Linked DNA regions of Callithrix jacchus. The main gene of each other region encodes a partner of the protein of the gene in region 2 in a complex. Links are inferred from orthologs where the notes say so. Each region holds a gene or a part of one and is shown on either strand. Other genes may lie near its edges.

Region 1 (3,173 bases), on a different chromosome or scaffold from region 2:
GAGGCCTGTCGGAGCAGAACCATTGTGCTGGCTGCAGCCTCTCATGGGCTCCAGGGGTCTGGTTCTTGTTTGTTTTTGTTTTTTTTGAGACAGAGTGTATCTCTGTCGCCCAGGCTGGAGTTCAGTGGTGCAATCTCGGCTCACTGCAACCTCTACCTGAGGGGTTCAAGCGATTCTCCTGCCTCAGCCTCCTGAGTAGCTGAGATTACAGACACTTGCCACCACACTTTGCTAATTTATTGTAGTTTTGGTAGAGATGGGGTTTCACCATATTGGCCAGGCTGGTCTTGAAGTCCTGACCTCAGGTGATCCACCCACCTTGGCCTCCCAAAGTGCTGGGATCATGGGCATGAGCCACTGGTCCATATTTCACGAGTGGACCCTGTGTGGAGCCGGGCCTGTGGTCAGGGAGGGCGGGGAAGCACAGGCCGCCTTGTGCTGAGCTGGGGACGTACCAAGGTTTGACGCTCAGTCCTTACTCAGCTCCCAAACCAGAGTCCAGAAACCGCCAGGGCTGGGCCAGGGGCCGGCAGAGCTAGGGACTGGGACACATTGACTGCCTGTTCCCTGGTTCTGGAGCCTCTGACCTCTGTGTCACCTTGTCCCAATCAGATCTGAATTCCAGAGAACAGGAGACCTGCCAGCCCGTGCACGTGGTCAACGTGGACATCCAGGACAACCATGAGGAGGCCACCCTGGGGGCATTTCTCATCTGTGAGCTCTGCCAGTGTGTGAGTACCGGGCCTGGCACCGTGCCGGGCAGAGGCTCTGCTGGGGCAGTGAGGCCTGAGGCTGGCCCTGCTGTTGGGGCGGGGTCTCCTGCTCAGCTGACCTGTGTTGGGGTACCTGCTGGCGGCTCAGAGAGAGCTGTCCCCCAGCTTTGGAGTAGGAGACCCCCTTTGCCCTCTGCTCAGCTGACAGACGCAGCGCAGTGACCTGCCCAACACAAGCTTAGGGCCTGGCACTGCCTCCTCCCTGGGGTGGACTCATCGCGCCTCAGCCAGCAGGCAAGTGGTGCTCCTGGATGCTGTGCGGTCGCAGGTATGCCCCACGTGAGCCTGGAGGCTCCCAGGGCGTCTGCTGCCAAGGGCTGTATGTCCACAGTCTGCCCCTGGACTCAGCCTTTTGCATGCCTGTCTTCCCCAAGACACCCTGAGGGGCCAGGGGGCACCCCAAGGGCTTCTGCAGCTGCGCTGCTGCCTTGCTGAGGTGCTGGGGTGTGAGGGGAGGGCCTGCTGGGGAGAGCCCCACACACCGACCCGCCTCTGCCTCTGGGATCTGTGAACGAGAGAGGAGATGGTGCGGTGTGGAGGCCCCGAGCCAGGCTGCCTGCGCTGGGAGAGGCTGCCGCAAGGGCGTGGGCTCCTGCCTGCCTGTGCTGCATGGTTTCTGGTCCTCACATGCCTCACGGCCCAGTATGGCTGGAGTGCCAAGGATGGTGCTGGTGACCGCCTGGTAGGAGGGAAGGCCACTGGAAAAGTCTCATCCCAGAAGTGGCTGCTCGATTTCTGCTCGGTCACGTTGGCCAGAGCTGAGTCACAGGCAGGCCACTCCTCACTTAAAGGCACTGTGTGCTGCCCAAGGTTGGGGACCAGGGGACACTGGCAATGGCAAATGACAAGCAGCCAGGGTCAAGGCCTGTGTGCTCAGGAGCCCAAGGTGCTTACTCCAGGCAGCAGGCCTCCGCCAGGGGCTCTGGTAGGTGGAGATCAGGATGCTCCAGTGACCGGGCTGCCCCTGCCACAGGGCACGGGTCTGGGTCCTTGCTGGCATTTGGGAAGTGCTGCGGTGAGGCTGTCTGGCTGTGCTGTGCATGAGTGGACCTGGGCCTGGGTCCCGGCTTCCCAGTCTGCTCTCTGAATCCAGCTCCCTGCTCCCAGCTTCAGGCTCGGTGGGGGCCAGTGGGGAGGTGAGGCCTGAGGCTTCCTAGGAACCTCTGCCCTTGCAGCCTCCAGCCATCCTTGTGAGGCAGCAGCAGCGGTGCAGGTGGGGACCTGTCTGTCACCCAGCTTCCTGGCCCAGGAGGGGGTTTCCCTGGTCATCCAGGTGCTGCCTGGGAGCAGACGGGAGGGCCGGCGAGGCCCTCACGGTGGTCCTGTCCTTGCAGATCCAGCACACGGAGGACATGGAGAACGAGATTGACGAGCTACTTCAGGAGTTTGAGGAGAAGAGCGGGCGCACCTTCCTGCACACTGTCTGCTTCTACTGAGCCGGGCGCCCCGGCTGCCCTCTCCAGCTTCCTTCTATTCATACTTTTTCCTTCCTGACGTTTGTTTTTACTTACAGGTGTTCTGCTGGTAACGGTAGCATGTGACACGGGAGGAGAGGTCCAAATGCCACATTAAAGCAATCAAGTCTTTTCCTTCCCATTTTTTAGTGGGATATTGATTATAGTTTTTTTCTTTAACCGAAGAGGAAAGACAGCAGTTTGTGTTAACTTCCCTGCTGTCCCCGTGTCCCCGTGCACCCGCTCCCTCCCCCCTTCCCACCCACGAGATGTTCAATGACCTGGAATTGTCCAATAAATAGATGCTGCTGTCACCTGTGCTTGGTCGTGAATTCCTGGCCCAACCCTGGCCCTCCGACCACTGCTGGGGAGGTGTAGCTCAGACCTGGGGTGGCTGGAGCCTGGGCCGACCCCGCCCTGTGCTGCCTGAAGTAGAAGCCAGCTGCTCCCACCAGCACTGCTACCTGTGGGGGAGCCACGTCCCAGCTCGGCATGGAAACTCTCCCCTCCCCTGACCCCCCACCTTGGTCGGCTGTCCCCTAGGCCACCTTCGAGGGAGGCTGAGCCAGGAGGATCACTTGAGCCCCGGAGTCAGCTGCAGTGAGCCTGGATGGCACTGCAGCCCCCAGGCTGGGCCCAGGCACTGCTTCCAGCTAACTTCCTGCTGCAAGGTGGCGGGGGCTCCTGTATCTGAGACGTGGTCACTGATTTTGGTTGAGTTTGGTCCCATAGCAGTGTGGTGACCACTTGGGCCTCTGAGTGGCAGGTGACTCCCTTGAGGATTCCAGGGGTCACCCCGTCCCTTCCCTCTGAGCCCCCCCCCATGGTTCCATGCACCCTGGAGACATGTGCAGCCCCGCACCTGGCTACCCGGGGAGACGAGGACGGAGGGTGGAGCAGTGGTGCGGAAAGAGCCTTGGCGCCCCTCTGGGCCAGATCGGGTTGG
Region 2 (3,651 bases):
TCATGCAGCCAGAATGTGGCAAAGCTGGGATTTTACTTATTTTTTATTTTTTTGGGTGGAGTCTTACCCTGTCACCCAGAGTGTGGTGGCACAATCTTGGCTCATTGCAACCGTCCGCCTTCCAGGCTAAGAGATTTTTGTGCCTCAGCCCCTGGAGGAGCTGGTATTACGGGCACCTGACACCACAGTCAGCTCTTTTGTTTGTTGTTGTTGTTTTGAGATAGAGTTTCACTCTTGTTGCCCAGGTTGGGGTGCAATGGCACGATTGCTGCCCACTGCCATCTCCCCTTCCCAGGTTCAAGCAATTCTCCTGCCTCAGCCTCCCAAGTAGCTGGGATTACAGGCACCCACCATCACGCCCTGCTAATTTTGTATTTTTAGTAGAGATGGGTGTTTCACCATGTTGGCCGGGTTGGTCTCAAACTCCTGACCTCAGGTGATCCACCTGGCTCGGGCTCCCAGAGTGCTGAGATTACAGACATGAGCCACCATACCCGGCCAAGGCTGGAATTTTAACTCATGTCTGCAATGAATGCCAGAGCCCAAATATCCTGTCTCCCCATTTACTGGCAGAATTTGTGGTAAATTTTCTAAATTTGTAAGAAGTCTGTTCAACAAATATATGCCACGTGGCTGCTGTTGTTTCAGGCATTCATGTTAGGCTGTAGTACAGCAGTGAGGAAAACTCACTGTTATTCCTGCCTTCATGTAGCTGACAGCTAAGTTTCATATTTTTGACCGATTTAATTAATTTTTCGGATTTTAATGTATGCTCTGAATTCCGTGCTGAGCTCTTATTTATTCATTGAACAGATATTTATTGGAGGCCCTTCATTTTTTTCAATGAAAGTGACCCTCCTGGGGTTGTTGCTAAGCTAGGAAAGGGTCTCCACTTTTTGAGCCCTCAGACTGAGGCAAGCAAAACTAGTAATTACATAAAACAAAGTGCTTTCAGGTACTGATGGCTGGTATTTGCTGAGTGATTTCTGTATGTCAGTCAGGCACTCTTCTGAGCACTTTATATGTATTGTTGCAATTTTCCCAAAAAAAATTTCATAAACAATTGAGATAGATATTCTTCTTGTAAATGAGGTGAAGTCGATTGCCCAAGTTCACACAGTTGTCTGGCCCTACTGTCCCTTATGTGAACAGCGGGCCCCTGAGAGAGCAAAGGAGTTGGGGTTGCAGGACCACTCTAGATTCAGGGGCGGCTCATTCTGGAGGCACCAAACACCGTTCCCAGCTTCTAGATGTGTCGTTCCAGTCCTCTGAAACAGGCCCCTGATTTGCCTTTCCTCCTGAACCTCAGGCTCCTCTCACCTGCCCCTTTTTTTCTTCATCCCTCAGTAAGCGAGACATTGAGTTACTGCTGAAACTCATTGCAAACCTCAACATGCTCTTGAGGGACGAGAATGTGAATGTGGTGAAGAAGGCCATCCTTACCATGACCCAGCTCTACAAGGTGGCCCTGCAGGTGAGAGCCCCCTCCCCACCCAGGGCCATCCTGCCTGATAGGTCTCATTGACAAACGGATATGTTGGGGTTCAAAACCAGCATCCAATCAGATTCTGTGAGCAAGATGTGCTGTTGATCTGTGGGAACAGACAACATGGAGCTCTAATGTCACTTGGGTCAGGAATTTGCACTTAAATATCATTCCTTCCATTGATCCAGCCATTTATTCACTCAACAAACGTTCCCTGAGCATGTTCTCTGTGCTCAGCCCTGGGCTAGGTGATGCTGGAGACATAGCGGTGACAAAGACAGCTTAGGACCTTCACAGTGCTTGTAACCCAAGGAGGGAGGCAGACCTTAATTAATGAATCACATAAATGTTGATTATGGACTGTGAGCGGAAGCAAACACTGTGCTGTGGTGTACATTAGCATTAATAAAATGAGTGAATCCGTTTTATCACCACCATCTTGTAAACTCAGCATCGTCACTCCTTTACGTTAAGACTTGAGCCTTCATCACCCTGAGTGGTTGCTGTCTGCATCCCCATGTGGGCAGGGCAAGGCCTGGCCACTACTGTGTCCCGTCTCCAGCATCACTCAGCACTGGGCTAGGGCAGAGCTGGAACTCAGGAACTGTTCTCCATGGTTCTCTGGGTATTGGTAGAGGGTGGTGGTGATTGATGCATTGTCTTCACCTCTTTGTCTCTTCTCTTCCTTCCGGGTCTGTTGGCAGTGGATGGTGAAGTCACGGGTCATTAGCGAGCTGCAGGAGGCCTGCTGGGACATGGTATCTGCCATGGCAGGGGACATCATCCTACTGTTGGACTCTGACAATGATGGCATCCGCACCCACGCCATCAAGTTTGTGGAGGGCCTCATTGTCACCCTGTCACCCCGAATGGCTGACTCGGAGATACCCCGACGCCAGGAGCATGATATCAGCCTGGACCGCATCCCTCGGGACCACCCCTACATCCAGTACAGTGAGTGCTGCCTTCAGCTGGTGCCCTTGATAGCCCTGCACCAGCTTCCTCTCCTTCACTCCTTTCCCGCTCCCCCTTATCTTTCTTGGTTTTACATTTCTGAAACTGTGTGCAGAAGTAAAGAGCCCTGATGCTGTGTTCAGATCAGAACTGCCCTGATTGCTCATCATGAACTTGGGCAAGTTACCTGTCTCTGTACTTCATTTTCTTTTTTGGAAACTGGAGACAATAACATAGTACTACTTTCACAGGTTTGTAGTGAAGTTTTATGAGTGTGAGCTAATCAATGCTAGCCAGTTTTACGATTTTCTTAACAGTAAATTATAAAAGTAGTACATAGGCCAGGTGTGGTGGCTCATGCACGTAGTCCTAGCGTTTTGAGAGGCTGAGGCAGGCCGATCATTTGTGGTCAGGAGTTCGAGACCAGCATGGCCAACATCGTGAAACGCCTTCTCTACTAAATAGACAAAAATTAGCCAGGCCTGGTGGCAGCCACCTGTAATTCCAGCTACTTGGGAGGCTGAGGCACGGGAATCGCTTGAACCAGGTTGCAGTGAGCCAAGATTGTGCCAGTGTACTCCAGCCTGGGTGACAGAATAAGCCTCTATCTCAAAAAATAATAATAGTGGTAGTATATATACACTCAGTGTCAAGCAATATGGGTTAGTATAGAGGAATAATACCCTCTCCCTCAGTCCTGCTTCCCAGAGATAAACACTGTTAAGAATATATTTCCTTCCAGATCTTTCCCGTGCAAATGTAGATATTTGTATGTGTATATGCATAGTGTCTGCATCTGTTTGCTTTTCTGTTTGCAAAAACAAGGCCATGTTTGTGTTTTCATCTGGGAGACATTAGAGTATGGTGGCTTGTGTCTGAATCTCAGCTCCACCATTGGATGTAGCCTATTGTCTCTGAGCCTGAGTCCTCATCGGTAGATTGGGGATCGTTACTATGGCATCTAATTTAGGATGTAAGTATGAGCATTTGGTGAATTAATATGGCTGGAATAGTAAACATTCCACAAATATTAGCTATTCTTAATGTATTATTTGACAACCTTTATGACTTAATAGTATCAGTGACGTCTTTCCCTGTGAGAGTCATGTTCAGTTGCTACACAATATTCCATAGTATAGTTACATTACATTCTATTAAGTAATAATGCTCTGTTGATGGCCATTTAGGTTTTTAAGCACTATTTCAAATAA

The links.
Region 1: the proteins of SYMPK (region 2) and SSU72 are in contact, whole or in part, in a crystal structure (PDB 4H3K), measured with the Homo sapiens proteins. The link is inferred for Callithrix jacchus from reciprocal best matches to the Homo sapiens genes SYMPK and SSU72. Residues at the interface, in NP_004810.2 of Homo sapiens: Val123, Lys127, Leu131, Gln135, Asp175, Asn176, Asp177, Gly178, Thr181, His182, Lys185, Glu188, Pro204, Arg205, Arg206, Gln207, Ser250, Ile251, Thr254, Thr255, Asn262, Ala290, Ser292, Gln293, Ser295, Ser296, Lys299, Asn300, Leu303, His304; in NP_054907.1 of Homo sapiens: Glu113, Tyr116, Asp117, Val120, Asn124, Glu127, Gln128, Glu129, Thr130, Cys131, Gln132, Pro133, His135, Asp167, Glu169, Asn170, Asp173, Gln177, Glu180, Thr186, Phe187, Leu188, His189, Thr190, Val191, Phe193.

Annotation. Positions count from the first base shown.
Region 1 is NC_133508.1:39,659,841-39,663,013, reverse strand, and holds the end of SSU72 (RNA polymerase II subunit A C-terminal domain phosphatase SSU72), read left to right. Parts: intron 1-612; coding exon 613-731; intron 732-2,107; coding exon 2,108-2,209; 3' UTR 2,210-2,541; downstream 2,542-3,173. UniProt on the Homo sapiens protein: Protein phosphatase that catalyzes the dephosphorylation of the C-terminal domain of RNA polymerase II. Plays a role in RNA processing and termination. Plays a role in pre-mRNA polyadenylation via its interaction with SYMPK.
Region 2 is NC_133523.1:40,002,893-40,006,543, reverse strand, and holds part of SYMPK (symplekin), read left to right. Parts: intron 1-1,347; coding exon 1,348-1,474; intron 1,475-2,190; coding exon 2,191-2,440; intron 2,441-3,651. UniProt on the Homo sapiens protein: Scaffold protein that functions as a component of a multimolecular complex involved in histone mRNA 3'-end processing. Specific component of the tight junction (TJ) plaque, but might not be an exclusively junctional component. May have a house-keeping rule.